Anolis sagrei: one gene and its partners. The protein of the gene in region 3 interacts with the protein of the main gene of each other region in a biochemical or structural test. Links are inferred from orthologs where the notes say so. Each region holds a gene or a part of one and is shown on either strand. Other genes may lie near its edges.

Region 1 (10,071 bases), on a different chromosome or scaffold from region 3:
CAGACAGAAAGGATGCCCAAGACTAGAACAGCAGTTCTTGTCTTACAAAAGAAATTTGGAGAACATGCTCTATATCAGCAGACTGGCTGGAGATGATGCATCCCTAATCACACATTTTCTGTTTCCAGGTGTTTGGTTGTCATGTGCCTTCAGATCATATCTGACAACCCTAAAGTGAACATATCCCTGGATTTTCTTGCCACAATTTGATCAGTCATTATGGTCTTTCTCTGAGGCTGAGACAATGTAACTTTTCAAACTATTCAAACTCGGATCTCCAGAGTTCTAGTCCAACATGCAAACTACTACATTACACTGAATGTGGGGTGCTTATTTAAAGGCTTCTGGATTTTGTTTGAGCCAAATGTCTGAGAAAGTTTGCAGGAGAGTTAAAGCAATAGAAATAAAATAAGGAAACATATGCACATACTCAGAAAATGCCATTGGAGTTCACTTAAAATGATATTCAATACAAATTTACACATTTGCCGAGATAAAACAGCTAATGATGTAAGAAAAACACAAGGCAGTTAGTGATTTTTGCAGTTTTGCATGGAAGCATATGCCTCAACTTCACAATTCACCATACTCATATGTTAACTAACAGTATTCTGGATGACAGTAATTTCTGAAAACTGTGATGATAACAAGTATCAGTTACGAATGATGATTGTAGTGAATGTTTGGTTGAGGCTTGCTCTAAATGTTATTGGTACTTCACTGATCAGTCTTTCTCTGTTATTCTACATGATGTCCAATAGTGCTTATTTTATTATTCTTGTTTCAAGCAGTCTTTCCAGTATTTCTTGTTGGCCATGGGAGTTCTGTGTGCCAAGTTTGGTTCAGTTCCATCATTGGTGGAGTTCAGAATGCTCTTTGATTGTAGGTAAATCCCAGCAACAATATTCTCAAATGACAAAATCAACCCCCCCCCCCCCAACCCCATCAATATTCAAATTTGGGCTTATCGGGTAATAAGCATCATCATCTTCATCTTTATTTGTACGCTGCCACCATCTCCCCAAAGGGACTCAGGGTGGCTCACAGAAACACTCCAAATGCCACATGCAGACAACAATACATAAGTATAAATACAATGGCATAAGTATTATCAACAGTGCCTAAAATCTCATTAATAAAATTTTAGGAAATTGAAAATTATAAATTATAAATTTGGTCCAGTGAATGAAAATACATCCTGCATATCAGATATTTACATTATGATTCATAATGGTTATGAATCAGTTATATTATAGTTATATAGTTATAGTTATATTACAGTTATATAGTGGCAATGAAAATAATGGTTGGGGGACACCACAACATGGGGAACTGTATTAAGGGGTTTCAGCAATAGGAAGGCTGAGAAACACAGATTTAGAGCTTCTTCTGATTCTTAAAATAATCTTCTGCATGTTGAAAATGTACTAAAAGATGCTCATAACAACATCAAAAATGCTTACATAAATGAAATAGTGTTAAAAACTATTTGCCTAACGGTTATAGTGCACAACACCAGACGTATGTCCTATGTGAATAGTTAGTCAAAAGGAGCTACATTGGTCCCCAGAGCAGCCAACACACCAGTACTTCATTGGGGGGGGGGGGGCATTTGATGCAAAATTAAGCACTTTCCAATAAGACTCCATCTAATGGTCTCTAGGTAATTTCAATATCAGAAGGAACATGAACTAGAGCTAGTCAGGGTTCTGTTCTTTCAGGCAAAAATTGACTACAAAGAAAAGTCGAGAATTCAATATTGCAGGATTCTCCACTAAATTGTTCTTGATTAGCTTTTAGTCCAGAATCAAACTAATTTAACCAATCATTTCTGAACTTTGGCAGTATTCAAATCTGTTTTAAATACTACAGCTCTGTTTCTTTAAAAAGAAAAGAGGATCACTCTTCTGAGTTAATTACAATGATGCAGAGAACACTGTATCACTTCTGAATTGAACAGCAATATTTACACTCCACCAGAAGATTATAGTATGTGTTTTAACCTCAACATATTTATATGAGCCACTTGACTATGCAACAATATAGCAACATTTTGTTCAAGCTGGTTAATCATTCTTTTTACCCCCCAGAATCATATGTGTAACAGTTGATACTATGAAGCAGAAAAATGTCATCTCAGGAGCAAACAGGTTTTTCATATATATCTGTTCATAGTTTACCAAGTCTTGACCTGTTCAATGCTGATTGCTAAAGTAAATATATGAATCATTTATGAATCAGTTAAAAATGACCTATAAACCAATTACATGGTTTATAGAAACACAATTCCATTCAATATGGCCAACACTTTGATTTCATTACAGTACACCAGAGTAATCATTGCGAATAATTAGGTGAAAGGGTTTTTGAAAAAATGTGAATAAGCAACTTGTCTTCCAAAACCTTTTGGATCCTACAAATATATTTTCTAGCTCTGAAGCCTAAAGCAATATCGAGAAACAAGAAGGAACGTTGACTGGGCATACACTTCAACTGCATTGCCTACAGAGGATGAGCAAACAGGTAAAGTGTGACAGGACATCCCTTGAGTAGCTGTAGGAAGTAGCAGTCACAACCTACTAATTCTTTCCTACCTGGAAGCATGTTGTTTCACTTGTAAGTGTTGTAAATATGCTCCGTTGTTTTAATTGTTACTGTGGCTTTGTAGAATAATCAGTGATTTTATCAACTTCCTGGTGTTTTAGCTACAATATTGTGATATGGCCTAATGCAGAAGATGGTTCATTAAGGTTGCACCATGAATTATTGCACTGGGTTCCTTTAGTAGAAGCATGGGCAAACTCCCCCCCCCCCCCGGTGTTTTGGACTTCAACTCCCAGCATTCCTAACAGTCTCAGGCCCTTTCTTTTTCCAAGTTTGTGCATGCTTGCTTTAGTACAGCATTTCTCAACCTGGGGGTCAGGACCCCTGGGGGGGGGGGGTTGAAAGGGGGATGTCAGAGGGGTCACCAAAGACCACCAAAAAAAACCCAGTGTATTTTCTGTTGGTCATGTTGGTCATGGGGGTTCTTGTGTGGGAAGTTTGGCCCAATTCTATTGTTGGTGGGGTTCTGAATGCTCTTTGATTGTATGTGAACGATAAATTCCAGCAACTATAACTCCCAAATGTCAAGGTCTATTTTCCACAAACTCCACTGGTGTTCACATTTGGACATATTGAGTATTTGTGCCAAGTTTGGTCCAGATCCATCATCCAGCAACTAAAACTTCCAAATGACAAAATTAAGCGTCTGAGGGGGGGAAAGGAAGGGGCACTTAGGCTGTTAGGAATGGTGGGAGTTGAAGTCCAAAACACCTGAAGGGCCGACGTTTGCCCATGCTTGCTTTAGTGCCTCTTTCCTGTGCCACCTGGGATGCCACCTGTAGAATGAATGCCGCCTGACACCGCTGGCTCCATGCTATGGGATCCTGGGAGTTGTAGTTTGGTGAGGCACCATCCCTTTCTGGCAGAGAAGGCAGACCAATATATTTGCAGGACTACAGCCCGGAGACAGGGCAATTCAAGCGCTAGGAGGGAAGAGGAGAGTCAGGGTGGCTCTTGTCCGCCTCCCCTTCCCTGCTGAAGCGGCCTTGGGCCCAAGGCCCGTCTGGACGCCGCCTTCCGCTCTGCTCCGCATCCGGGCCGGGGCGGGCCTGCTCCCTCCTGCCTGGCTTCCTCCGCCCCTTTCGGGAGTTTTATAACTTGCGGGGTTTCTTCCGCGTCCTGTGACTCCAAGTCAGGTGGTTGCTTCCTCGCCTCTTGCCTTGCCTTCCCCGGTTTGGGTAGGCGAAGCGGACAAAGAAAGTGGACCGAAGTCAGGCAGAGAGAGAGAGAGAGAGAGAGAGAGAGAGAGAGTGGAGCGGGCGGCTGGGTCTCCCTCCTTTGCTCGCCTTCTTCCCAAGTGTCAGGTTCTTGAGAAGTTTGGGAGAGTGAGAAATGGCTGGAGGAGAAAGAGGAGCCGGAGGAGGAGGAGGAGGAGGGGGAGGTGGGAGTAACGGCAGTAGTAGCAGCAGCAGCAGCGTTTCGGGGGCCTCGGAAAGCCGGGAGCATCTCTTCAAGGTGCTGGTGATCGGGGAGCTGGGCGTGGGCAAGACCAGCATCATCAAGCGCTACGTCCACCAGCTCTTCTCGCAGCACTACCGGGCCACCATCGGCGTGGACTTCGCCCTCAAGGTCCTGCCCTGGGACAGCCGGACCCTGGTCAGGCTCCAGCTCTGGGACATCGCCGGTGAGGAGCGGGACCCTTGGCCGGGGGAGGAGGAAGGAGGAAGAGGCGGAGGAAGGGAGCCAGCCCCCAGCAGGGCTCCTCGTCCGGCCCCGGGGTGGATAGATAGAGGGCTCTTCTCCTTGTCTTCCTGGTGGGAAGGGAGAGGAAGGAGGCAGGGCATGCCCATGGTGTGGGTTTGCAGCAAGACCCAAACGCTAAGGAAGTGCCCTGTGGTGTTTGTGTTGCTGCCTGTTCCCTTGTTCAGAAGACTTCACCTCATTTTCTGTCCCTGTGATAATTGGATTTGGAAAAGTGTGGCTTGTTAAGGAAACAAGGATTGGCGAGAAAGCTTCAGTGGAGAGCCCTTTTCCCTATGGTTACTCTTCCAGAAAAGAATTTCCCTTCAAAGGGGCAGATTTCTCTCACTTCTTGTGGTCTCACCCCTGTTCTTAACTCTGAGCCATTTGTAAGTCAGATGTTTGTAACCCAGGGACTGCCTGTACAGGTGAAGCATCCTCTGCACAGTCTTCTGTAAACATTGCTCAACAGGTTTGTGTCAATGTCTAAAACAGCTACCAGGTGACCTTCAAAAACTTTTAAATGATTCCAACATTGAGCTAAAGCAGAGCTTTCCAACCTTTCTTTTTGAGCAGGGACCACCTTGACCAGGGACCACTTTGACCAGGGACCTCTCTCCAACATTAGAATCCTAGAATCCTTGAGTTGGAAGAGACCTCATGGGCCATCCAGTCCAACCCCCTGCCAAGAAGCAGGGAAATTGCATTCAAAGTACCCCCAACCGATTAGTACCAAAAGGGTTATAAATCAGTTTTTGGTCAAGTTAAGATTCGGTTTGAGGTGCTGCTTCAGAAAATTGCATTGGATAGACCACATCAGCTCTAGTTTCTGATACAGAGCATATGGTATGGTCAGCAACAGGGAAGCAGTGGCAGGCAGCGCAAAAGGAGTGGAAATACAATAACTAAAATAAAATTAATAAAGAGGGAGGAGGCTCACAGACCAGATATTTATTCTCATGGCCCACTGGTGATCCGCTGCCCACAGATTAAGAACCAGGGATCCCACTTGCCTATCAAAACCTATAGGTCAGTGGTTTTCATCCTGTGGATCCCCAGATGTTTTGGCTTTCAACTTACCAGTTAGCTGGTAAACTGGCTGGGATTTCTGGGAGTTGTAGGCCAAAAAACCTGGGGACCCACAGGTTTAGAGCCACTGCTAGCCTATCAAAACCTATGCCAGCTTTCCCCAACCACCACCTCTTCTCCCTTGATGATATTTCTCGTGACCCCAGGTATATAGGCATAAAAACCAAATAAGAAACCAGCATTTGCAAGGCTTGCTGAACAAGCTGCTTTTCCTTTTTGTAGAGTACACAAAACATGGATTTTTAAGTAGGCTTTTGGCCTTGAGTAAGCTGAAATGGGCCCATATGAGGTTGACACTTTGGCACTTTAGTTGTGATTTGAAGGCAGCTAGTTTTAACTACAGATGGTCTACATTTTAAACTGTGTTTTTCTTTTTTTATGGGTTAATAGTCATTGTTTGTATAACTTTTATGTGAGATTGTTTTTATACTCTTGTACTGTTGATGTTATATACTACACTTGTAGTACCTTGGGAGATGGTGGCGGGATATAAATAAAGTTTATTATTTATTATTATTACAGCTGAAGCATTTTCTGTTGTGTAAGTGGTTGGTGTTCAGAAACCTTTTGCTGTTGCCACACTTCTCGTGCCCCCATTTTTGAGCCAAATGGGATCCCGTTTGTGACTGGGACCCAGAGTGTAAGAAGCCCTTTTCTATTTCAGCTGGTCTCAAAGGTGCTGCAACATCCTTTTGCAGTGGGAAAAATGGAAATTTCCTTTGAGCAAATAATACAATTTGTGGAAATGACAGTCATGTCCTGTGTTAAATCTTTAGCAATGTATTTGTGCAACGCTCCTTCGCTATGGGGGTGCTCTGAAGCCTAGCTTTTGTGGCATAGGCATTTGTACAATGTTTGTGTGGTTTGTGTTTTCAAGTCAGCTGCCAACTTACAGTGACCCCATGAATTTCATAGAGTTTTCTTAGGCAACGAATACTCAGAGGTAGTTTTGACAGTTTCTTCCCCTACAGTTTCTGGTATTCTTTGTGTCTCCCATCCAAGTACTACCAGAGTGGACCCTACTTAGCTTCCAAAATCATTTGGGATCTCCTGTGTTTAGAGCAGAGTTTCTCAAACTGTGCTCCTCTGGGATTTTTAGACTTTAGCTGCCACAATTCCTAACAGCTGGTAAACCTTCTCTAGTCCAGTGGTTCTCAACCTGTGTGTCCCCAGGTGTTTTGGCCTACAACTCCCTAAAATCCCAGCCAGTTTACCAGCTGTTAGGAATCCTGGGAGTTGAAGGCCAAAACATCTGAGGACCCACAGGTTGAGAACCACTGTTCTAGAGTACTGTGTTTGCATGTACCAGACTGCAGAATGGGTTTTCACACATGATGTATCCCTTTCTATACAGAAGTGACGTTGAGCTAGGGAAAATACAAACATAGAGGCCCTAAGATCCAATGAGCCATGGCATAAATGTGGAAGTTTGGCAAAAGCATTAGATTTGCAAAGCCTTCATTAACTTACACAATGTGCTGGATATTGCTAATTGTACGACTGCATGTATGTGTGTTTTATTGTGTATGTTTTAATCTGGTTTTGATTTGGGGGGGGGGGGGATTTTTTAATCTTGTTTTAAGCTTTGTGTCTTGCTGGTTTTGAGCAATGCCTTTTTTAGTTATTGGAAACGTCTTTGAATCCTGATCTGGGAGAAAGGCAGGATAGAAATAGAGCAATGACAACACATTTCTATTAAAAATTGAACTTTTGTCTTTGAAAAGTTCTTGCTTTCCCAAACAGCTGCATGAAGAGTCTAGTTTCAAAAAGTTAAACTCTTCCTTGTATTTTTGTGAATGCATTTTAGGTCTTGAGTGCACATGTACAGCTGTTAAGGAAAGAAAACATTTTCTGTTGTACCAGAAATTAAACAGGAGGGAATGCTAGTTGATAGATTCTAAGGTTTTGACAAAGGACCGCATCACACAAGAGAATGAATCCAGTTTAAATCTGGTTTCTGCCTCCTGCAGAATTCTGGGGTTTGTAGTTTAGTGAGGCTGTTAAAGGCTTCTCCCTAAACTACAAACCCAAGAATTCTGCAGGAGGCAGAAACCGGATTTAAAGTGGATTCATTCTCTAGTGTGATGAGGGCCATAGAAAGGAACTTTTCCATGTTCTGTATTACACTTTTCCAGATGTTCTGAATGACAATTGAATAGTAGAAAATTCCTTTGTATCTATGTTGTTCCCAAACTCTAAGGATTTTGGAAAACTATTTAAAATAGTGTATTTTTAAAATGTAAGTGATCTTGTACATTCTGCAGTACTCACTAACTTTAATAACAATGGGAGCTTTCTTTAACAGTCTCCCTTTAACTTCTGGCAACTGTTAAGTTGCACAGAGCTTTTAATGTGGCAATTCTTCAGTTGCATCACCACCCTGCAGTGAGCATCCCGTGTAAGTTATGGTTTTTCCTGGAAGAAGTGTCTTCCTTTCATTTAAATGCCTTCTTTGGTTCCTCTTTTCCCTAGTTTGGAGAATGGTCGGCTTCCATTTTGACCTGCTGTTAGGATTATAAACCATTTTATACAGCAGTAAAAGGCAAGAAAGGGTTTTTTTTTTGTCTTCTTTTGCCAAGTTGACAATCTTCCAGTATGGGATCAGCATTCTCTTCTGAACACAGTTATTTTGAGGAACAGCCATTATTTCTTGTAATGAGAGCAAGAGGATTAGGGGCAAAAATGCACATTTAATTCATTCACACTAAGAGTACTGTAGAAGCATTGCTTTCCTCCCTGTAAGTTGGCTGTACAGATACAACATCAAAATCACTTTGGAGCGGAAGAGCTTGGTCAGTGGCCATCCTTGCTGGGAGTTCTGGCCATTGTAGTCCAAAATGTAACTCTTCCAAGCTCTGTTTGTAACATGTTTGAACAAGAGAGCTTCATATACAAAAATGCATCATACTTTAACCTGGGTACAAATGAGCAAGTTGCTCAACAAAACATTTAACATATTACCTGTAAAAGAGAACAGTGATAACTGAGTTGGTAAGCCTGTCCTCCATAATATGAGCATCTATGGGTAGGTTTTGTCATTTAACCATGAAATACTAATTTAGGTTGCCACAACTGTCACCATGTTGCCAATAGAAAATGTTGTATCATCCCCCAGCCCGAGCCCAGAACTGTGTTTCTATTTCAGACTACCGGCTGTCTGTTTGATGGTTGCTTTATATTGTGTTATGTCATTGTTGTTTTATTTTGCTTGTTGACGTTTTTATGAATTTTAATGTGTTATTTTAACTATGTTGATTGGGCTTGTCCCCATGTAAGCTGGCACAAGTCCTTTGGGGAGATGGAGGCAGGATACAAAAGTAGTAGTAGTAGTTGTTGTTGTTGCTGTTGCTGTTGTTGCTGTTATTATTATTATTATTATAGCATTAACATGGTATAGCACAGGCAGGGGCAAACTTTGGCCCTCTAGGTGTTTTGGACTTCAACTCCCACAATTCCTAACAGCTGGTAGGCTTTTAGGAATTGTGGGAGATGAAGTCCAATAACACCTGGAGGGCTGAAGTTTGCTCATGCCTGGTATAGCACTTGTGATTCTGCTACATGTATTTATACAATTCATCTTTAAAACACACACAAAGTGCCACATTTAATTCCTGTGTTACTGCCTAATGCAGAGATGGGATTCCTGAGGTCCTCCAGATAATGTTGGGTGGAAGCTCATTCTTTTACCATTGATTGTGCTGGCTAGGATTTTTGGGGAGTTCAACAGCATCTGGATTGCAACATGCCGGTGATTTGATCAGGGAGGAAGTTTACAAACACAACTCTTCAACAGGGAGTTAGAGTGACAACACACACACACATACACACACATGGCTGGAAGTGAGTGCACCCTCCAAGATGCTGAAGATGGGACAGCCTATATATACCTCTGTCGATGTACTGTTGTCTGTATTGTCAGTGCATAACATCATTGAATGTTTGCCGTATATGTGTTCTGTGATCCACTCGGGGTGAGAAGGGCAGAATATACATACTGTAAATAAATAAGCAAATAATAATATAGGTTTTCACAGTAAACCTGCTTTTTGTGCCCATTCCGCTCCTTCTTCCTAGCTAGTTGAAATAATTTAACAAAATTAGTATGGGGGAAAATGTGCAAGAGAACTGGAGAAAACCAGATTGTCAGTATGGGGTTGCAGCAATGGGTTTATAGTAAACAATGAGGTAAACAAGGTTGAACTGGAAAACAGTAGGGTTCTACTCTACCCTATGGTGCTGGAGTCCTGCACCTGTCCCTGCAATATGCAAGGTGCAACAGAAACTGCTTCCAGATTCCTAACTGAACACGCACAAACAGCAAAAGAGAATCAAAGGGAGAGCAGGCACGGTTCCCAGGAAGTTTTATTAAACCAGACATTAAAATCATTTGAAAAGTGGAGTTTGGTGAAAGAAAAAGTCACTGGATGCATTTTGGAAGAAACCTCCAAGTGCTCTTTTGAAGGTTCAAACTGTTTCTTTTCTTTCTTTTCTTTTCTTATTTTGCTTATGCAAGGCTTCCCTGACCTGGTTGATTCATTTCCCAAGTAGTGTTATTTTCAATCAAAAGTTTGTGGAAACATGTTGAACTTCTGTTTTGGATGGCGCAGGAACTTTTGTGTGGTTTTTACTTGTGGCACCAACGTTTCTGTCACAGAAGCAATGCTTAGGAGCACATCTACTTCATTAACTGAGGTCTAC
Region 2 (10,071 bases), on a different chromosome or scaffold from region 3:
TCATAAAAATGTCGTAAATAAATCTATATAAATAAAAATATAATGTTCGTTTGTGGGATTAACTCAACGCAAAAACCACTGGACGGATTGACACCAAATTTGGACAAAATACACCAATCAGACCAACGAGTGACGATCACTCATAAGAACACCAAAAAACCCACAAAAAATACATTACAACGCATGCGCAAAACCACATATATATATATACGCAAACTCATATATACAAATATATACAAACACAAAACACATATACACAGACTGGGCCACAGCAACTCATGGCAGAGGACAGCTAGTTGTTACACACATATATATATATATACACACACACACACATCTTATGCACTATACGGGAAAACAAATGCAAGTAACGCTATTCTGGTTCAAACTATTTTGGATTGCGATACTCAGTCTCTACTCGGAGGGAATGGAGTCATAGTAAACCTGCCGAGAGTGAGAGCGAGGGGAAGGCAGGCCGGCCAAGGGCATGTTAATGACAATGCCGCTGGGTGAAAGGTGAAGCCGAGGGAAGGGTGACTCAAGGCTCCCTCCAAGGCACAGAAGACACTTCTTCTCAACCGGGTCTCTTCATACATTTCTGGGCACAATGCAAAGTATAGTCGTTCAAGCTGAAAAGTTGTGAAAAGGAGGAAAATCTGAGCATTTTTTGAGGGGGAGGGGTCCTTAAAGCCACACAACGCTCCAAGGAAGGCACTTTGGAAAAGGTGTTGTCGAAGACTTTCATGCCCTGAATCACTGGGTTGCTGTGAGTTTTCCAGGCTCCAGAAGCATTCTCTCCTGACATTTCGCCTACATCTGTGGCAGGCATCTTCAGAGGTTGTGAGGTCTGTTGGAAACTAGGCAAGTGGGGATTATGTATCTGAGGAGAGAAAGAACTCTTGTCTGCTTGAGGCAAGTGTGACTATTGCAACGGGACACCTTGATTAGCATTGAATAGCCGTTCAGCTTCAAAGCCTGGCTGCTTCCTGCCTGGGGAGTCCAGAGTAGGAGAAAGAACTCTTTGTCTGTTGGAAGCAAGTGGGAATGTTCCAATTGGCCACCTTGGTTAGCATTGAATAGCCTTGCAGCTTCAAAACCTGGCTGCTTCCTGCCTGGGGGAGTCCAGGGTGGGAGAAAGAACTCTTGTCTGTTGGAGGCAAGTGGAAATGTTAATATTGGCCACCTTGGTTACCACTGAATAGCCTTCAAAGTCTGATGGCTTCCTGCCTGGGGAGTCCAGGGTGGGAGAAAGAACTCTTTGTCTGTTGGAGGCAAGTGTGAATGTTCCAATTTGCCACCTTGGTGAGCATTTAATTGCCTTGCAGCTTCAAAGCCTGGCTGCTTCCTGCCTGGGGAGTCCAGGGTGGGAGAGAGAACTCTTGCCTGTTGGAGGCAAGTGGGGATGTTCCAATTGGCCACCTTGGTTAGCACTGAATAGCCTTGCAGGGAGTCCAGGGTGGGAGAAAGAACTCTTGTCTGTTGAAGGCAAGTGGGAATGTTCCAATTGGCCACCTTGGTTAGCATTGAATACCCTTGCAGCTTCAAAGCCTGGCTGCTTCCTGCTTGGGGGAGTCCAGGGTGGGAGAAAGAACTCTTGTCTGTTGGAGGCAAGTGGGGATGTTCCAATTGGTCACCTTGGTTAGAATTAAATAGCCTTGCAGCTTCAAAGCCTGGCTGCTTCCTGCCTGGGGGAGTCCAGGATGGGAGAAAGAACTCTTGTCTGTTGGAGGCAAGTGGGAATGTTCCAATTGGCCACCTTGGTTAGCACTGAATAGCCTTGCACCTTCAAAGCCTGGCGGCTTCCTGTCTGGTGGAATCCTTTGCTAGGAGGTGTTAGCTGGCCCTGGTTGTTTCCTGTCAGAATTTCCCCCCCTTTTTTAGTGTTGCTCTTTATTTACTATCCAGGAAGCAGCCAGGCTTTGAAGCTGCAAGGGCCATTCAATGCTGATCAAGATGGCCAATTGCAACATTTGCCTCCAACAGACAAAAGTTCTTTTTCCCACTCTGGACATCATTCCACTGTGCTAAGCTAATAATATAATATAATATAATATAATATATTGTTTACATATCCTACTTATAATATTATAATATAATGCAATTTAAGACTAATAATATAAATAATAATGCAATATTATAATTATATATTTTATATTATATGTAATATTAGTAATAATATTACAATATCATGGTATAGTACAATACAGTAATAAACAATACTGATATTGTGCTATGCTAATAATATAATATATTGTATGTATATATATATATATATATCTTGTAAGCCGTTCTGAGTCCCCTTCAGGGTGAGAAGGGCGGCATATAAATTCTGTAAAGTTAGGGTCCGCAAACTAAGGCCCGGGGGCCGGATACAGCCTTCCAAGGTCATTTACCCAGCCTTCGCTCAGGGTCAACCTAAGTCTGAAACTACTTGAAAGCACACAACCACAACAACAACAACAACCACCCTATTTCATCAGCCAAAAGCATGTCTACACTTCCCATTGAAATACTAATAAGTATATATTTGTTAAAATTGTTCTTCATTTTAATTATTGGATTGTTTCAAAGTGTTTTTTGCACTTCAAATAAGAGATGTGCAGTGTGCATAGGAATTCATTCATTTTTTTCTCCAAATTATAATCTGGCCCTCCAACAGTTTGAGGGACTGTGACCTGGCCCTCTGCTTAAAAAGAGGCAAATAATAAAACATCAAGCAAAAACAATAAAACTCTAAAAACAATGACAACAATATTACAATTATAATATTGTATTATTATTACTAGTATTATATTGCATTACATTATGTGAGAGCCGTTCAGCAGTGGAACTCTCTGCCCCGGAGTGTCATGGAGGCTCCTTCTTTGGAAGCTTTTAAACAGAGGCTGGATGGCCACCTGTCAGGGGTGATTTGAATGCAATATTCCTGCTTCTTGGCAGAATGGGGTTGGACTGGATGGCCCATGAGGTCTCTTCCAACTCTAGGATTCTATGACTCTATGGTTATAATATTATAAATATTATATGTATATACAATATGCATTATATGAATCCATAGATATATAAACCCCACTTGCCTAGTTTCCAACAGACCCCTCAACCTCTGAGGATGCCTGTCATACATGTGAGGGAAACATCAGGAGAGAATGCTTCTGGAAGAGAATTCTGGAACAGCCTCAGCCACAGCAGTGTGTGGCAGGTGACGACTAGTATATATACGAGCATATAAGCCCACTTACCTAGTTTCCAACAGACCTGACAACCTCTGAGGGGAATTCCAGACAGGAAACAATCAGGACCAGCTAACACCTCCCAACCTGGGATTCCTCCCCAGGCAGGAAGCAGCCAGGCTTTGAAGCTGCAAGGCCATTCTTGTCTGCTGCAACCTTCAGCAGACAAGAGACCTTTCTCCCCTCCTCACAACCTCTGAAGAGGCCTGCCAAAGATGTGGGCGAAACGTCAGGAGAGAATGCTTCTGGAACAGACTGAGTCACAGCAGTGTGTGGCAGGTGACGACTAGTATATATACAAGTACATAAACCCCACTTACCTAGTTTCCAACAGACCTGACAACAACCTCTGAGGGGAATTCCAGACAGGGAACAATCAGGGCCAGCTAACACCTAAAAACCTGGGATGCCTCCCCAGGCAGGAAGCAGCCAGGCTTTGAAGCTGCAAGGCCATTCTTGCCTGTTGCAACCTTCAGCAGACAAGAGACCTTTCTCCCCTCCTCACAATCTCTGAGGGGAATTCCAGACAGGAAACAATCAGGGCCAGCTAACACCTCCCAACCTGGGATTCCTCCCCAGGCAGGAAGCAGCCAGGCTTTGAAGCTGCAAGGCCATTCTTGCCTGTTGCAACCTTCAGCAGACAAGAGACCTTTCTCCCCTCCTCACAATCTCTGAGGGGAATTCCAGACAGGAAACAATCAGGGCCAGCTAACACCTCCCAACCTGGGATTCCTCCCCAGGCAGGAAGCAGCCAGGCTTTGAAGCTGCAAGGCCATTCTTGTCTGTTGCAACCTTCAGCAAAGAGACCTTTCTCCCCTCCTCACAACCTCTGAAGAGGCCTGCCAAAGATGTGGGCGAAACATCAGGAGAGAATGCTTCTGGAACAGACTGGGCCACAGCAGTGTGTGGCAGGTGACAACTAGTATATATACGAGTATATAAACCCCACTTACCTAGTTTCCAACAGACCTGACAACCTCTGAGGGGAATTCCAGACAGGTAACAATCAGGGCCAGCTAACACCTCCCAACCTGGGATTCCTCCCCAGGCAGGAAGCAGCCAGGCTTTGAAACTGCAAGGCCATTCTTGTCTGCTGCAACCTTCAGCAGATAAGAGACCTTTCTCCCCTCCTCACAATCTCTGAGGGGAATTCCAGACAGGAAACAATCAGGGCCAGCTAACACCTCCCAACCTGGGATGCCTCCCCAGGCAGGAAGCAGCCAGGCTTTGAAGCTGCAAGGCCATTCTTGCCTGTTGCAACCTTCAGCAGACAAGAGACCTTTCTCCCCTCCTCACAATCTCTGAGGGGAATTCCAGACAGGAAACAATCAGGGCCAGCTAACACCTCCCAACCTGGGATTCCTCCCCAGGCAGGAAGCAGCCAGGCTTTGAAGCTGCAAGGCCATTCTTGTCTGTTGCAACCTTCAGCAAAGAGACCTTTCTCCCCTCCTCACAACCTCTGAAGAGGCCTGCCAAAGATGTGGGCGAAACATCAGGAGAGAATGCTTCTGGAACAGACTGGGCCACAGCAGTGTGTGGCAGGTGACAACTAGTATATATACGAGTATATAAACCCCACTTACCTAGTTTCCAACAGACCTGACAACCTCTGAGGGGAATTCCAGACAGGTAACAATCAGGGCCAGCTAACACCTCCCAACCTGGGATTCCTCCCCAGGCAGGAAGCAGCCAGGCTTTGAAACTGCAAGGCCATTCTTGTCTGCTGCAACCTTCAGCAGATAAGAGACCTTTCTCCCCTCCTCACAATCTCTGAGGGGAATTCCAGACAGGAAACAATCAGGGCCAGCTAACACCTCCCAACCTGGGGTTCTTCCCCAGGCAGGAAGCAGCCAGGCTTTGAAGCTGCAAGGCCATTCTTGTCTGCAGACAAGAGACCTTTCTCCCCTCCTCACAACCTCTGAGGAGGCCTAGATGTGGGCGAAACGTCAGGAGAGAATGCTTCTGGGACATAGCTATACTGCCCAGAAAACTCACAGCAACCCAGTGATTCCGGCCATGAAAGCCTTAGACAACACAGTAATGATATTAATAGTAATAGAATACCAATAGAGGGGCCTCCTGCAAACTTGGTTGGAAATCCAAGCCTTGTATGTAGTATCACAACAATACTAAAGGGCTGAGACTGACACACACACCCCCCCCCCGCCAAGGGGCAAAGGCAGAAGAACCGGAAGGGCGCGCAAGGGCCCCAAAGCAGGCCCCTCTCACCGTCCTGGGAGGCTTCTGCTCGGCCTGGGCCCGGGCCCCGCTCCGCTCCACGTGCCGCCTTCCTTCCCTGCCTCCCGCCCGCCGGGGCCCTTCAGAACGCTGAGGCATCCGACCAAAATACACAGCGTCCTCTTGGCCCCGCCCACCGCGCCTTTAAGGCCCCGCTCGCCCCGCCCCCTCCGCCCCACCCCCTCCCAGCCCGCGCGAGACTTCCCTTTCCCTCCCTGGGAGCAGGACAAGGCTGCCCATTGCGCATGCGTGACCCGACTCAGGCTCAAAGGAATGACGAGGAGGGACCGCGCAACGATTTCACCCGCTTTCTCATGACCCAGTGCTATGGGACCCTGGGAGATGTAGTATAATTCCACAGTGTTGAGCCATGGCAGTCAAAAGTGGTATCAAACTGAATTAATTCTACACATGGGCTTCCAGAACTGATGGAGTAAGACGAGAAAGGACCATACAATAGGTTGTTGTAGGTTTTTTCGGCCTGTATGGCCATGTTCTAGAGGCATTTTCTCCTGACGTTTCGCCTGCATCTATGGCAAGCATCCTCAGAGGTAGTGAGGTCTGTTGGAACTAGGAAAATGGGTTTATATATCTGTGGAATGACCAGGGTGGGGCAAAGGACTCTTGTCAGAAAGGGTGAAACCATTAAATGAACAAAATCTGGCTAAAAAAGATAAAGGTAGTCCCCTGACATGAAGTCCAGTCATGTCTGACTCTGGGGTGTGGTGCTCATCTCCATTTCTAAGCCGAAGAGCCAGCGTTGTCCGTAGACACCTCCAAGGTGTCTGATTCCCATGTCTGATCCCACAGCAAGCTGGCTCCAGGAAAGGCAAAAGCTGCACATCGCAAGTGTTGAACCTGACTCAGCACATAGAAGATGGCTTTGAAAGTCAGCAGATCACAGGAGCTATATTCATAGACCTGTCCGCAGCCTATGAGACTGTGAACCACCGCCTCCTCTTGAGAAAAATGTACAATATCACAAAGGACGACCACCTCACCCGCCTCATAGGAAACCTGCTACAAAACAGGAGCTTTTTTGTTGAGTTCCAGGGCCAGAGAAGCAGATGGCGGAAACAGAAGAACGGCCTGCCTCAGGGGAGCGTGCTTGCTCCATCCATGTTCAACATCTACACAAATGACCAGCCACTGCCAGAAGGGACAGAGAGTTTCATCTATGCTGATGATCGTGCCATTACTGCTCAAGCAGGGAGCTTTGAGATGGCAGAACAGAAGCTCTCCGAAGCTCTAGGTGCTCTTATTTATTTATTTATTTATTTATTTGCTATATTTATATACCGCCGTTTCTCAGCCTAGCCGGCGACTCAACGCAGTTTACAACATAATATAACAATCAACAGTATACAGTTAAAAGCATAAAAAACATAAAAAACATAAAAACACAATTCATACATCAATACCAATCCAGTTCGACTCTTAACTAAAAACGTGATCCAGTTCGTCATCCATGTTGCCAGTCCTTTAGTCAGTTACCATTCGTTGCATTGGGTTAACCAAATGCCTGCTTAAACACCCAGGTCTTCAATCTTCTTCGGAATATCATCAATGAAGGGGCTGATCTTACCTCCAAGGGCAGGGCGTTCCATAGCCGTGGGGCCACCACAGAAAAGGCCCTGTCTCTCGTACCCGCCAGCCGCACTGCCCATTACAGGGAAAACCAGCTGATCCCTAATCCATCTAAAACACAGACATGCGCCTTTCACCTTAAGAACGGACAAGCATCCCGAGCTCTGAGGATGACCTGGGAAGGAATCCCACTGGAGCATTGCAGCGCACCCAAATACCTGGGAGTCACTCTGGACCGTGCTCTTACCTACAAGAAGCACTGCCTGAACATCAAGCAAAAAGTGGGTGCTAGAAACAATATCACACGAAAGCTGACTGGCACAACCTGGGGATCACAACCAGACACAGTGAAGACATCTGCCCTTGCGCTATGCTACTCTGCTGCTGAGTACGCATGCCCAGTGTGGAAAACGTCTCACCACACTAAAACAATGGATGTGGCTCTTAATGAGACATGCCACATTATCACGGGGTGTCTGCGCCCTACACCACTGGAGAAATTACACTGCTTAGCCGGTATTGCACCACCAGACATCCGCCGGGAAGTAGCAGCCAATAGTGAAAGGACCAAGGCAGTGACATCTCCAGCTCATCCCTTGTTTGGTATCAGCCAGCATGTCAACGACTCAAATCAAGAAATACTTTTCTTAGATCTACAGAGACTCTCGCTGGAACACCTCAGCAAAAGTGGCAGGCCCAAACCCAGCACCTCAATCCGTGGGTGATACCAGATGAGAGACTCCCACTTGGGCACACAGAAGACTGGGCGACTTGGAAGGCACTGAACAGACTGCGCTCTGGCACCACGAGATGCAGAGCCAATCTTAAGAAATGGGGCTACAAAGTGGAATCCACGACATGCGAGTGCGGAGAAGAGCAAACCACTGACCTCCTGCTGCAATGCAACCTGAGCCCTGCCACATGCACCATGGAGGACCTTCTTGCGGCAACTCCAGAAGCACTCCAAGTGGCCAGATACTGGTCAAGGGACATTTAATCAGCTACCAAGTTTGCAAAATTTGTTTTTTTTAATCTGTTTGTTTGTTTTGTTCTGCTAGAAATGTAATACAATGTTCTGGTTGCGGATGACACGATAAATAAATAAATAATCTCCAAGGTCATGTGGCCAGCATGACTGCATGGAGCACCGTTACCTTCCCGCCGGAGCGGTACCTATTGATCTACTCACATTTGCATGTTTTCAAACTGCTAGGTTGGCAGAAGCTAGGGCTGACAGCAGAAGCTCACGCCGCTCCCGGAATCGAACCTGCAACCTTTTGATCAACAAGCTCAGCAGCTCAGTACTTTAACCCACTGCACCACCGGGGGCTTACCATTTCAATGGTAAGCAAACAGTATTTTGGCACCCCCCCCCCCCAAACCAATCATTGATATATATTTTCTGTCTGTTGTGGGAGTTGTGTGTGCCATATTTGGTTCAATTCCATCATTGGTGGAGTTCAGAATGATCTTTGATTGTAAGTAAACTATACATCCTAGTAACTACAACTCACATATGTCAAGGTCTATTTCCCCCCAAGAGTGCGCCTGAGCAAAATCAACTATACTGCAAATGTTTACTTTGCGTATTGGGTTGAGCCACCCCTGGGTCTAGGCCAGATATGGGCAAACTTGGGCCCTCCAGGTGTTTTGGACTTTAACTCCCAGAACTTCGAGTTCATAGAATCCTAGAGTTGGAAGAGACCTCGTGGGCCATCCAGTCCAATCCCATTCTGCCAAGAAGCAGGAAAACTGCATTCAAATCACCCCTGACAGATGGCTATCCAGCCTCTGTTTAAAAGCTTCCAAAGAAGGAGCCTCCACCACAATCCGCGGCAGAGAGTTCCACTGCTGAACAGCTCTCACAGCCAGGAAGTTCTTCATGTTCAGATGGAATCTCCTTTCTTGTAGTTTGAAGCCATTGTTCCATTGTGTCCCAGTCTCCAGGGCAGCAGGAAACAAGTTCGCTCCCTCCGCCCCATGACTCCCTCTCACATATTTATACATGCACCTCATCATGTCTCCTCTCAGCTTTCTCTTCTGCAGGTTAAACATGCCCAGTTCTTTAAGCCGCTCCTCATAGGCCTTGTTTTCCAGACCTTTGATCATTTGAGTCGCCCTCTGAACACATTCCAGCTGGTCAACCTCTCCCTTCAATTGTGGTGCTCAGAATTGGACACAGTATTCCAGGTGTGGTGTAACCAAGGCAGAATAGAGCATGGGGAGCATGAGTTTGCAGATGACACCAAATTGGGAGGGAGAGCCAAGACTCCGGAAGACAGAAGCAGAATTCAAAGTGATCTTCACAGATTAGAAAGATGATTGGCCAAAACTAACAAAATGAAGTTCAATTGGGACAAATGCAAGAGACTCCACTTAGGCAGAAAAACGAAATTCAAAGATACAGAATGGTGGATGCGTGGCTCGAGAGTAGTATGTGTGAAAAAGATATTGCGCTCCTTGTGGACAGCAACTTAAACATGAGCCAACAATGTGATGCAGCAGCAAAAAAAGCCAATGGGATTTTGGCCTGCATCAATAGGAGCATAGTGTCTAGATCCAGGGAAGTCATGCTCCCCATGCTCTATTCTGCCTTGGTTAGACCACACCTGGAATATTGTGTCCAATTCTGGGCACCACAATTCAAGAGAGATATTGACAAGCTGGAATGTGTCCAGAAGAGAGCGACTAAAATGATCAAGGGTCTAGAGAACAAGCCCTATGAGGAGCGGCTTGGGGAGCTGGGCATGTTTCGCCTTCAGAAGAGAAGGCTGAGAGGAGATATGATAGCCATGTATAAATATGTGAGAGGAAGCCACAGGGAGGAGGGAGCAAGCTTGTTTTCTGCTTCCTTGGAGACTAGGACGCAATGGAACAATGGCTTCAAACTACAAGAAAGGAGATTCCATCTGAACATGTACCAGGAGCTCCAGCTATATTTGCTTTGTATTAAATGTTTGTTTGCAGTCCTAGGTTTCAGGGACTCTGCAGATAGGTGGCTTCCTTTGGTTGCAGT
Region 3 (10,071 bases):
AGTACAGTAAGCAATCTGAATTATATACATAACAAATAACTATTATAGGAGGCATGTAGAAGGTCGCTATTTCCAACAATATGCGTACCATTAGTATCCTCTAAACCTGAGCTTTAAAAACGTTTTATGTTGGTGGCACACCTTTTAAGGTAAAGGTAAAGGTAATGGTTTCCCCCTGACATTAGGTCCAGTCATGTCCGACTCTCGGAGTTGGTGCTCATCTCAATTTCTAAGCTGAAGAGCCGGTGTTGTCCATAAACACCTCCAAGATCATGTTGCTGGCATGACTGCCTGGAGTGCCGTTACCTTCCTACCAGAGTGGTACCTATTGATCTACTCATACCATTCAGGCACATGCAATTTCGCAACACAGTAATTCAGGTAGACTAGCAAAATGGAGGTTCAACCAACCCCTTATAAGAGATACATACATGAATTGTAATAACGAAATCTATGGGGATACGTGTGCTGTCGCACGCTGGGCCTGTGCATATGACTGTAGACAGGACATAAATTCTGTGTGCCCAACGGGACGTCGGGGACGCCTCAGATTAAAGGCCCTTGGACCTCCCCAAAACAAAGTTCTGTAGAGGCTTAAAGTAAGTCCAACAAAGTTCTTTATTGATGAAAACAAACAGGTACATTCAAGCTTTCTTAACAGTCTATTGGCTCTTGCAATCTTGTTCACTGGGAACAGGCACTATCTTCATAACTGTATACTAACTAATGGGGAAATCCTTAACTTCTAATCTGGGCAGTTTGTACTTGCCTCTGTTGGTGTGGAGCCCCTGCACCCGGTACCAACTGCGTCTGGCTTCTGCGAGCAACCCTTACCAAGCAGAGCTTTGTAGACTTCCAGGGGGAAAGGATTCAGGCTTCCGTGATGGCTGACTGAAGTCCCCCAGCGAAGGAGCTGCAAGGCTGTATAACTCCAGTCAGGCTGTAGGCTGTATATCTCCCCGGCCAAGCCGTAGAAGACGAAGCTTTCTACAGGAGCTCTTGGTATTATGTCCTGCATGGAAAGCTGCTCTGTGTGGACTGAACTCAAAAAGGCTCCTATTCCCTCCAAAACTCAAAAAGGGGCGGGACCAGGGAACCTAACGATAATTGACAGGTGGTTTGCCCTATGATTGCAAACGATAACAGGAAGCCACCCTGCTGCAAAATCCCAAGCCTGGGATTGCAAACAAACATTTAATGCAAAGCAAACAGAATTGGAGCTCCTGGTACAACTGTACCAGCACACAACGTATCTCATGAAAACATTTCATTATATTTAGTTATATTTATTTATGGCTTATTTCACATAACTCAAATGTTTGTGTGACACATCTACTCACTGCAACAAATACACGAATGTGTCATGACAAACAGTTCGAAAATCTTTCCTCTGAGTGCTGAATTGGGTTTTTATTATTAAGAACTGATTATAAATATAATTATTTATACATCATTTATTTATTTATTTATTTCATCTCAGGCACAAAGATCCTAAATGACACACAACCTTTTAAAAAAAGACCCAATTTAAAAACTTGCAGAATATAAATGTTCAAATAGATTTAAATATACAGATATATATTTTGCACCCACTCTGGTTGCTTGGTTCAAGATGAATACCAGGCATCCATCAATACACAATAGTTGAGTCCTAGTCTGGAAGGGAAAAAACAGAATACAAAGAAGAGTGATTTGGGATGAATTCTTATGAATACTATGCTTTCAAGTCACTTGTCGGCTTAAAGCGACTCCATGAATTTCAAAGGGTTTTCTGAGACCTAATGATTAAAAACCAGAAGTGTGCCAATGTGTCATCCTCATGTCAAATGCTACACTGAAAATATAGGCAATTCTCCTCTTGTGAGATAAAATTTCAGATTTTAAAGCTGTGAAATAAATCTGGAAAATTAGGAGCTTCCGAAAGGTCCAAATTTGCAGGGAAAAGCTCCTCCAGCTTGCACATTACAGGCAAATGCCATTAATTTGACAAAGGGTCTGCTCTTTGGTCTGTTTCTTGGAAAAGTTCTTTTAAGCTTAATCACATATTCAGAAATGCTATACAGTAGATTATCAGTTAATTAATTTATTTATTTACAACATTTATATGCCACCCTTCTCACCCCGAAGGGAACTTAGGGTGACTTATAAGATATATACATACACACACACACACACACACACACTCACTATATTATTAGCATAGTACAATATCAGTATTAAATATTACTATATTGTACTATACCATATACTATATTGTACTATGGTGACGGCCGACAGGGAGCTCTGGTGTGGGCTGGTCCATGAGGTCACGAAGAGTCGGAGACGACTGAACGAATGAACAACAACAACTATACCATTATATTGTAGTATTATTAGTAATATGACATGTAATATAAATATATAATTGGAGCCCCTGGTGGCGCAGAGCCCCTGGTGGCTTCAGTCCCTGTGCCGGCAAGACTGAAGACCGACAGGTCGCAGGTTTGAATCCGGGGAGAGCACGGATGAGCTCCCTCTATCAGCTCCAGCTCCTCATGCGGGGACATGGGAGAAGCCTCCTTCTAGGATGGTAAAATAATCAAAACATTCGGGCATCCTCTTAGCAACGTTCTTGCAGACGGCCAATTCTCTCACACCAGAAGCGACTTGCAGTTTCTCAAGTCGCTCCTGACCCGACAAATATATATATATATATATACACACACACACACAAAGAAAATTATAATATATTATTAGTATTAGTTTTATAATGCATTACATTATATTATAAATATTATATGTATATAAAATATATTATATTATAAGAATAGTTAACCTGAACTCAAGCAAGGAATCAAAGAAATACTAATAATAATGTGTTGCCAAAGGCTTTCATGGCTGGAATCACTGGTTGCTGTGAGTTTTTCGAGCAGTATGGTTATAGAATCACGGGATTTGTAGTTTTGTGAGGCACCAGCACTCTTTGAGAGACAAGGCTAAACACCTTGTAAAACCACTCCAATACAATAGCATTGATTGAGCCATGAGTTAGTTGTCAAACCTTCCACGCATGCGCACTACGCACTTGGCCTCCTAGTCCTTTTGTCTGGTGACGCATTCTTTCCCCTGCTCACCATTTCACACCTCCCTCGAGGCCCCGCCCACAACTTCTGCATAGCCCCGCTCACAGACACACCTCTAATCCTCCGCCCCCTCTCCGCGGGTTCCTTCTGCACATGCGCAGAACATTTCTGCCTCTCTGTGGCGCTCACGCCTCCTTTTGTCCCGTGACGCACAATCCTTCAGTCCTCCCTAGCCCCGCCCACCACTGTATATCTTCGCGGCTTCCTCTTGCACATGCGCAACACAAGCACACTCGCTGTCTATAGCGTTCACGCCTTAGTCCTTTCTCAGCGTGCTCGCTTCTCCCCTTCGAAGCCACGCCTCCAATTAATTCATAGCCCCGCCCACTACACAGCTTTTTTTTTGTCCTGTCAGGAGCGACTTGAGAAACTGCAAGTCGCTTCTGGTGTGAGAGAATTGGCAGTCTGCAAGTCTGATTTGATGTTTTATCATCCTTGTGGGAGGCTTCTCTCATGTCCCCGCATGAGGAGCTGGAGCTGATAGAGGGAGAAGCTCATTTCGCCTCTCCCTGGATTCGAACCTGCGACCTGTCGGTCTTCATTTCTGTCGGCACAGGGGTTTAACCCACTGCGCCACTGGGGGCTACACAGCTTACTGGACCTTTTGCGCGGCTACCTCCTGCACATGCGCACTGCAAGCATACTCTCCGTCTATAGCGCTCACGCCTCCTTTTGCAGCTTGACGCGCCTCTCCATGTCTAGGCCACGCCTCCTCCTCTCTAGCCCCGCCCACCACACGCCTCTCCAGACCGTCTCCGCGGCTTCTTCCTACGCATGCGCACCGCAAGCACACCCGTCACATAGCGCTCACGCCTCCTTTTACAGCTTGAGGAACCTCTCCATTTCTAGGCCACGCCCACTCCTCCTCCCTAGCCCCGCCCACCAAGCGCAGCGCCGACTTTTTCCTGCGCATGCGCACCGCATGTAGCCCTCATGCCTTAGTGTCCTTTTGCTTCTCCCCATAGGAGGCCACGCCCCCTATTCCTCTTGTAGCCCCGCCCATCTCACACACCTCCTCCCTGCCTGGGCGCGCGCCGCGGCTTCCTGCTGGGCATGCGCAGACCTTGCTCGCTGTTGCGCGCCCGCGCTTGGCCCCTCCCCCGCTCCGTCCCTTTCTCTCCGTCGCGCGCGTGCCGGCTCCCGTAACGGCTCAGTCTGAGGAGGGAAGGGCAGAGAGAAGCAGCGGGCGCGGAGCCTCCCTTCGACGGCGCCAAGATGAGCATCGAAATTCCGCCGGGGTTGACGGAGCTGCTGCAGGGCTACACGGTGGAGGTGCTGAGGCACCGGCCGCCGGACCTGCTGGGCTTCGCCGCGGACTACTTCTGCCGCCTGAGGGACAGCCGAGACCAGCAGCTGAGGGAAGCGGCGGCGGCAGCGGCCTCCGCCCGGGGCAAAGGCGTCCTCTTCGACGGGGAGCCCATGCAGACAGAGTCCAACGGCGAGGAAGAGCGCAGGGAAGCCGAAGACTCGGACTCGGACTTTGAGCGTGAGTCAGGGAAGAGGAGGAGGAGGAGGAGGGCGGCCTAGGGCGCTCAGAATAGAAAATAGCCCCGCTTGCTTGCTTCCTTGCTTGCTTGCCTCCCTCCCCTCCTCGCGGCTATTTCATGGCGCACTCTTTATTATTATTATTATTGGTGTTATCCTCATCATCATTCTCATTATTGCGTCTTGCCTCAGGCGGGCGAGGGAGGGAGGGAGGGAGGCGGGAGAGAGGCAGCCTTTCTCAAGTCCCTTGTTGGACCAAACGGGTCGCCTCGGAAATGTGCCTCTGGAAAGCCACGAGAACTCGGTTGCCTTCTCTAGACCGGTGGCTTTCAAAGAAAAAAGGCCTGCACGTTTGTGGGCTTGGGGGAGACTTCTTCAGAGCTCCACGGTGGAAGAAAGGTGATGTTTGTATGTGTGTGTAGAGAGAGGGAAGTGTGTATCTCTCTAAAACTATATGTATAGGGAGAGGTGTATGTGTCTCTGTATATATATATATAGAGAGGGGGGGGGAGTGTACTTATATAAAGAGAGGTGTATGCATATATATATATATAGAGAGAGACAGAGGTGTATGCGTATATATATATAGAGAGAGAGAGAGGTGTATGGATGTATTTATATAGAGAGAGAGGTGTATGCGTATATATAGAGAGAGATAGAAGTGTATGAATGTATCAATATAGAAAGAGGTGTATGTGTATATATAGAGAGAGAGGTATATGGTTGTATTCATATATAGAGAGAGGTGTATGCATGTATATATTTATAGAGAGAGGTGTATGGATGTATTAATATGTAGAGAGCTGTATGTGTATATATATATAGAGAGAGAGAGAGAGAGGTGTATGGATCTATTAATATGTAGAGAGATGTATGTGTGTATATATATATATATAGAGAGAGAGAGAGAGGTGTAAGTGTATATATATAGAGAGAGAGAGGGAGAGAGAGGGAGGTGCATGAATGTGTATATATATAGAGAGAGAGGTGTATGAATGTATTTATGTAAAGAGGTATGTATGGAGATGTGTGTGTATATATACACACACACACGCACATATATATAGAGAGAGGTGTGTGTTTATATATCTGTGTGTGTATATGTATATATATATATATATATATATATATATTTATAGAGAGAGAGAGAGAGAGGTGTCTATATAGAGAGACCTATAGAGGTGTATAGCACCAGATCATATATTTTGACAAATAGATTTACGTGAAGCTTAAAAAGTGGGTCGGTGAGGATGTGTCAATTTATATATAGAGAGAATAGTGTGTGTGATTATATAGAGAAAGAAGAAGCTGTATATGTATATATAGAGGTGTCTGTTTATACATATATATATATAGAGAGAGAGAGAGAGAGAGAGAGAAGAGGTATGTGTAAGAATATATATCAATCGAGAGAGGTGATTATAAAGGAAATAGTATGTATAGATAGAAAGTGCGAGGGAGGTATGTGTATGACTATAAAATAGAGGGGTGTGTACATGTGTAATATATATATATATATATATATGGGTGTATACACACACATATACATATGGGGAGAGAGAAGGTATGTGTACGAATGTATATAAATAGAGATGTGTATATGTGTATATATAGAGGTTTGTATATATGTTTAGAGAGGGCTGTGTGTGTATATGTGTGTGTGTGTATACATATATGGTGGAAAGAGGGTGTATATGCACATTATATGTGCTGACTAAGTAATGTTGAGGAATGACTGCAAGATCTCTAGACGGTTGTGTGAGTGGTTTCTTTGCGCAGGGAATAGGAGGTGTGACCTTGTCTGTATGATGAGAAAAAGCGCAGTGAATATGGATGCTTTGTGTGTGCGTGTGTGTCCCCTTTATTTCTCCAGCCAGCTAACAAGCTTTATTTTTTTGACTCACCATTCTGTCCAAGGAAATAATGCCTTCCCTGTTCCATAGTCCTTTCATTATGTGTCCTATGTGGATTTTATTTCCACACCCACGTGCATGCTCTTTCTCTGTCTGTCACTTATTTTTTGTGGAGTGGGGAATCTTAACCTCAGTGCTGCAGTAATGTACATAACAATCCCTATGTGTGGTATGGGTCCTGCATGTTGTATAGTTGTCCTAATCCCTGTTGGATGGGTGTGTATATAATAGATTTCTCTCATATGTAGTAGAGAAGACTCTCATTCCCCCAGGGTTTGCACTAATGTGGTTAGAATCTTTTTAGGGAGATTGGGGAGGTTGGAGAGGAACGCACAAGTAGCAGTTTCTTTGTAGAAAGGTTGAATAGTTAGGGAATCTCTTCACTTCCCCGGGTCGGAATCTATCTATCTATCTATCTATCTATCTATCTATCTTGTAAGCTGCTCTGAGTCCCCTTCGGGGTGAGAAGGGCGGCATATAAATGCCGTAAATAAATAAATAAATAAATTTTACTCTGGCTTGTAATAATGGAACTTCTTGCAAATTGTACTTCTGAGCATTTAGGAAAATGTATAACAGTGTGTTGGGTAGATTTTAAAGAAAGAGAACAATTGTGTTAATTTTTCCCATCTCTCTTGTCCTGTTAGAATATTCTGAAGGGGGGAGGGTTATGTATTTAAATCTCACTTTCCAAAGAGAAAGCATACAATTATCACTTAGATTGTCATCACCTCTCTGTATCCACAGATTCCATCACCCGTTGCCTAAAATATTAAAGTATATATTTCTGTATCAATCTATATAAAGGATCTTGAGCGTGTGTGGATTTTCCTATCTACAGGAGTGTGCTGGAATCTAATCCCAGCAGGTACCAATGGGATTATGTCTACAGTTCAACTGTAGACATAGAACTTAAAAATCGACTGAAAGCTCAGAGAATTTACTTTCTAGTTCTGTACTAGATAGGATGGAAGAGCCAATTTCAGGACAAAGTTTGGATTAGGCTTCAGGATATTCCCATGACCTCGTTATGTCAAAATTTAAAGCATACTTTTGATGATTATTCTTAAGAGTAAAGAAGGATATACAGTAGTTGGCAGCCAGGATTGTGGACCAGGAATTCTTGGAGAATACTGTTCACTTCCCATGTCTGTTGACAAACCTTGGATATGTTTGATTCATGGTATTCTTCATTTCAAATTATAATAAGACAAAAGAAAGTAATTTTTAGATAAATTGTTGACTGGTGATGGTTGAACTGATGAGGTTGTGTATGGCTTTGGTTCTTGATTTGGAAGTATAGAAGTATGAGTGAAGAGTTATGACTTTGTATAGTGGGGAGAAATGGAAATACTATTTAATTTATACCTACCCTTTCTCCAAACAGAATTGAAGGTAGCTTAAAGGAGAGAACAAGGTAGAGAAATTACTTGAAACTACCAGAATAAGAAAAATGGAATTCTGTGTTGTTGAACTATTGACTACAAGTAGTAGGATATAATCAGTTTTCAAACTGAAGAAATGAAATGATACAGGGTTTATTCCCTGGTGTGATTGGTACAGTGCTGCATGTTTAAAATGCACATTAATTAAACTCAGAGGAAAAACATCACGATCTTACAGAATTATAATGAGTATTGAATGAACTATCCTTTACATTTTTCATTAGGGGACGTTTTTCCTTTAAGAGATTCAGTAGAATCTGTACAAGATGAGAGGATTTGGCAGGAATTGTGCTTTGTGTTGTTATGTAGTACAGGTTGTGCTTTTATTCCCCATACACTTTCTGTAATCTTTTAATAAAAAGATACTGATAGAATTTGACAGATAAACATGACAGTAATATTCCCTAGGACTGACAAAAGTAGCCACTAATTTTCACTTCTGGTGAATGGAAATGTAATAAGCGGATACCTATTTGGCAAAGTAAAATGCAGAGGCTAGACATATTTCCAAACTGGCTTCCAGATTTGTGTACAGACAACATGACTGTGATGCAACTACTACGTATGTATGTCTGTGTACCTTCAAGTTGCTTGTAAACCCATGATGATCCTATAAATTTCATAGGGTTTTCTTAAGCAAGGAGCACTTTGAGGTAGCTTTGGGAGTTAATGCCTCTGAAATGGACTCTAAAATACTAGGGTTGAATGACCAGGGCTGAATGACCCTACTTAGCTTCCATTATCAGATGGCACCTATGTAACTGGTTTTCAATAGCATTTAATTGCCTTTCTCCAGTGTTTTAGAAAAAGTAAATGGAAATCCACAAAAACCATGCTAAAAATGTCATGTTGTCATAGAATCATAGGGTTGGAAGAGGCCACAAGAATCACCTAGCCTCTACTTAAAAACCTCAGAAGGGGGAGACTCCATCATACTCTGAGGCAGAATACTCCACAGTTGAACATCAGGAAGTTGTTCCTAATGTTTAAGTAGATTTTTTTCTTGCAGTTTGAATCCATTGCTCCATATCATATTCATCAGAGCAGCATAAGACAAGTTTTCCCCCTCTTCAATGTGACATCCTTTCAAATATTTAAACATGACAACCTACTTTTCTCCAATCAAAACATATCCAGTCATTCCCCATAGGACTTGCATTTCCAAACCTTTGATCATTTTATTTGTCCTTCTGTGGACACATTTTAGCTTGTCAATATCTTTGAATTGTAGTCCCTAGAACTGGACACAGTTTTCCTTCTCCTTTGTTTTCATCATGAGAGTATGGAGTGTTGTACCCTTATGTTATTGCTTGCATTTTGCAAGATGTTGGTTGACAAAGCACTTCTCCATCTCATCCCTGTGTTGTGGAGCTAGCTTAGCTCCTTCCACAACTTCTGTTCCTGTAAACTGCCAGGATGGAGTGAAATGTAGATTGAGTGGCTGTGGTTGGAAGATTTGTCCTTTTTTCACTTTGTACACATATGATTGCATCCCGTCCACCATGGCAATATCATGGTGGATGGGATGCAATCATATGTGTACAAAGTTTAAAAAGGAGAAATCTTCCAACCCCAGCCACTCAATCTACAAAATTCGCAGAAGATACAGCTGTGGTGGGGCTTATCTCTGAAGGGGATGAGTCTGCCTATCAGGATGAGGTGGATCAGCTGCTCTTGTGGTGCAGGGACAATAATCTGGTTATTAACATCAGTGAGACCAAGAAGCTCATAGTGAATTATAGGAAGGACAGACCAGAAATTCAGCCCTTGGTCATAAATGGAGACCAAGTGGAGCATGTGGCCAGTTTTAAATTCCTAGGTGTCACTGTAAAGGAGAATCTGAACTGGGGCACCCATACAGCAGTGTTGGTTAAGAGGGCCCTGCAGAGACCGGTACTACCTGGGACTCCTAAGGAACCACCAACTGAATGAAAAACTGCTGGTAACTTTCTATCGTTGTGCTGTAGAGAGTGTCCTAACCAGCGGATGGTTTGGTAGCTTCACAGTGGCAGATAGGAAGGCACTCCAAAGGGTCACCTCTTCAGCATAGTGAATCATTGGTTGCCTTCTTCCCTCTTTGGAAGAACTTTATAATTCCCGCTCCTA

What was found.
Region 1: the proteins of PRKAR2A (region 3) and RAB32 interact in a test that uses a peptide from one of them, tested with the Homo sapiens proteins (2 studies listed by BioGRID, with this or other methods). The link is inferred for Anolis sagrei from reciprocal best matches to the Homo sapiens genes PRKAR2A and RAB32.
Region 2: the proteins of PRKAR2A (region 3) and AKAP1 form a complex in vitro, tested with the Homo sapiens proteins (2 studies listed by BioGRID, with this or other methods). The link is inferred for Anolis sagrei from reciprocal best matches to the Homo sapiens genes PRKAR2A and AKAP1.

What each region holds. Positions count from the first base shown.
Region 1 is NC_090021.1:74,907,231-74,917,301, reverse strand, and holds the start of RAB32 (ras-related protein Rab-32), read left to right. Parts: upstream 1-3,611; 5' UTR 3,612-3,936; coding exon 3,937-4,228; intron 4,229-10,071. UniProt on the Homo sapiens protein: The small GTPases Rab are key regulators of intracellular membrane trafficking, from the formation of transport vesicles to their fusion with membranes.
Region 2 is NC_090031.1:20,965,970-20,976,040, forward strand, and holds the start of AKAP1 (A-kinase anchor protein 1, mitochondrial), read right to left. Parts: upstream 5,611-10,071; 5' UTR 5,460-5,610; intron 1-5,459.
Region 3 is NC_090022.1:28,673,313-28,683,383, forward strand, and holds the start of PRKAR2A (cAMP-dependent protein kinase type II-alpha regulatory subunit), read left to right. Parts: upstream 1-4,200; 5' UTR 4,201-4,337; coding exon 4,338-4,608; intron 4,609-10,071. UniProt on the Homo sapiens protein: Regulatory subunit of the cAMP-dependent protein kinases involved in cAMP signaling in cells. Type II regulatory chains mediate membrane association by binding to anchoring proteins, including the MAP2 kinase.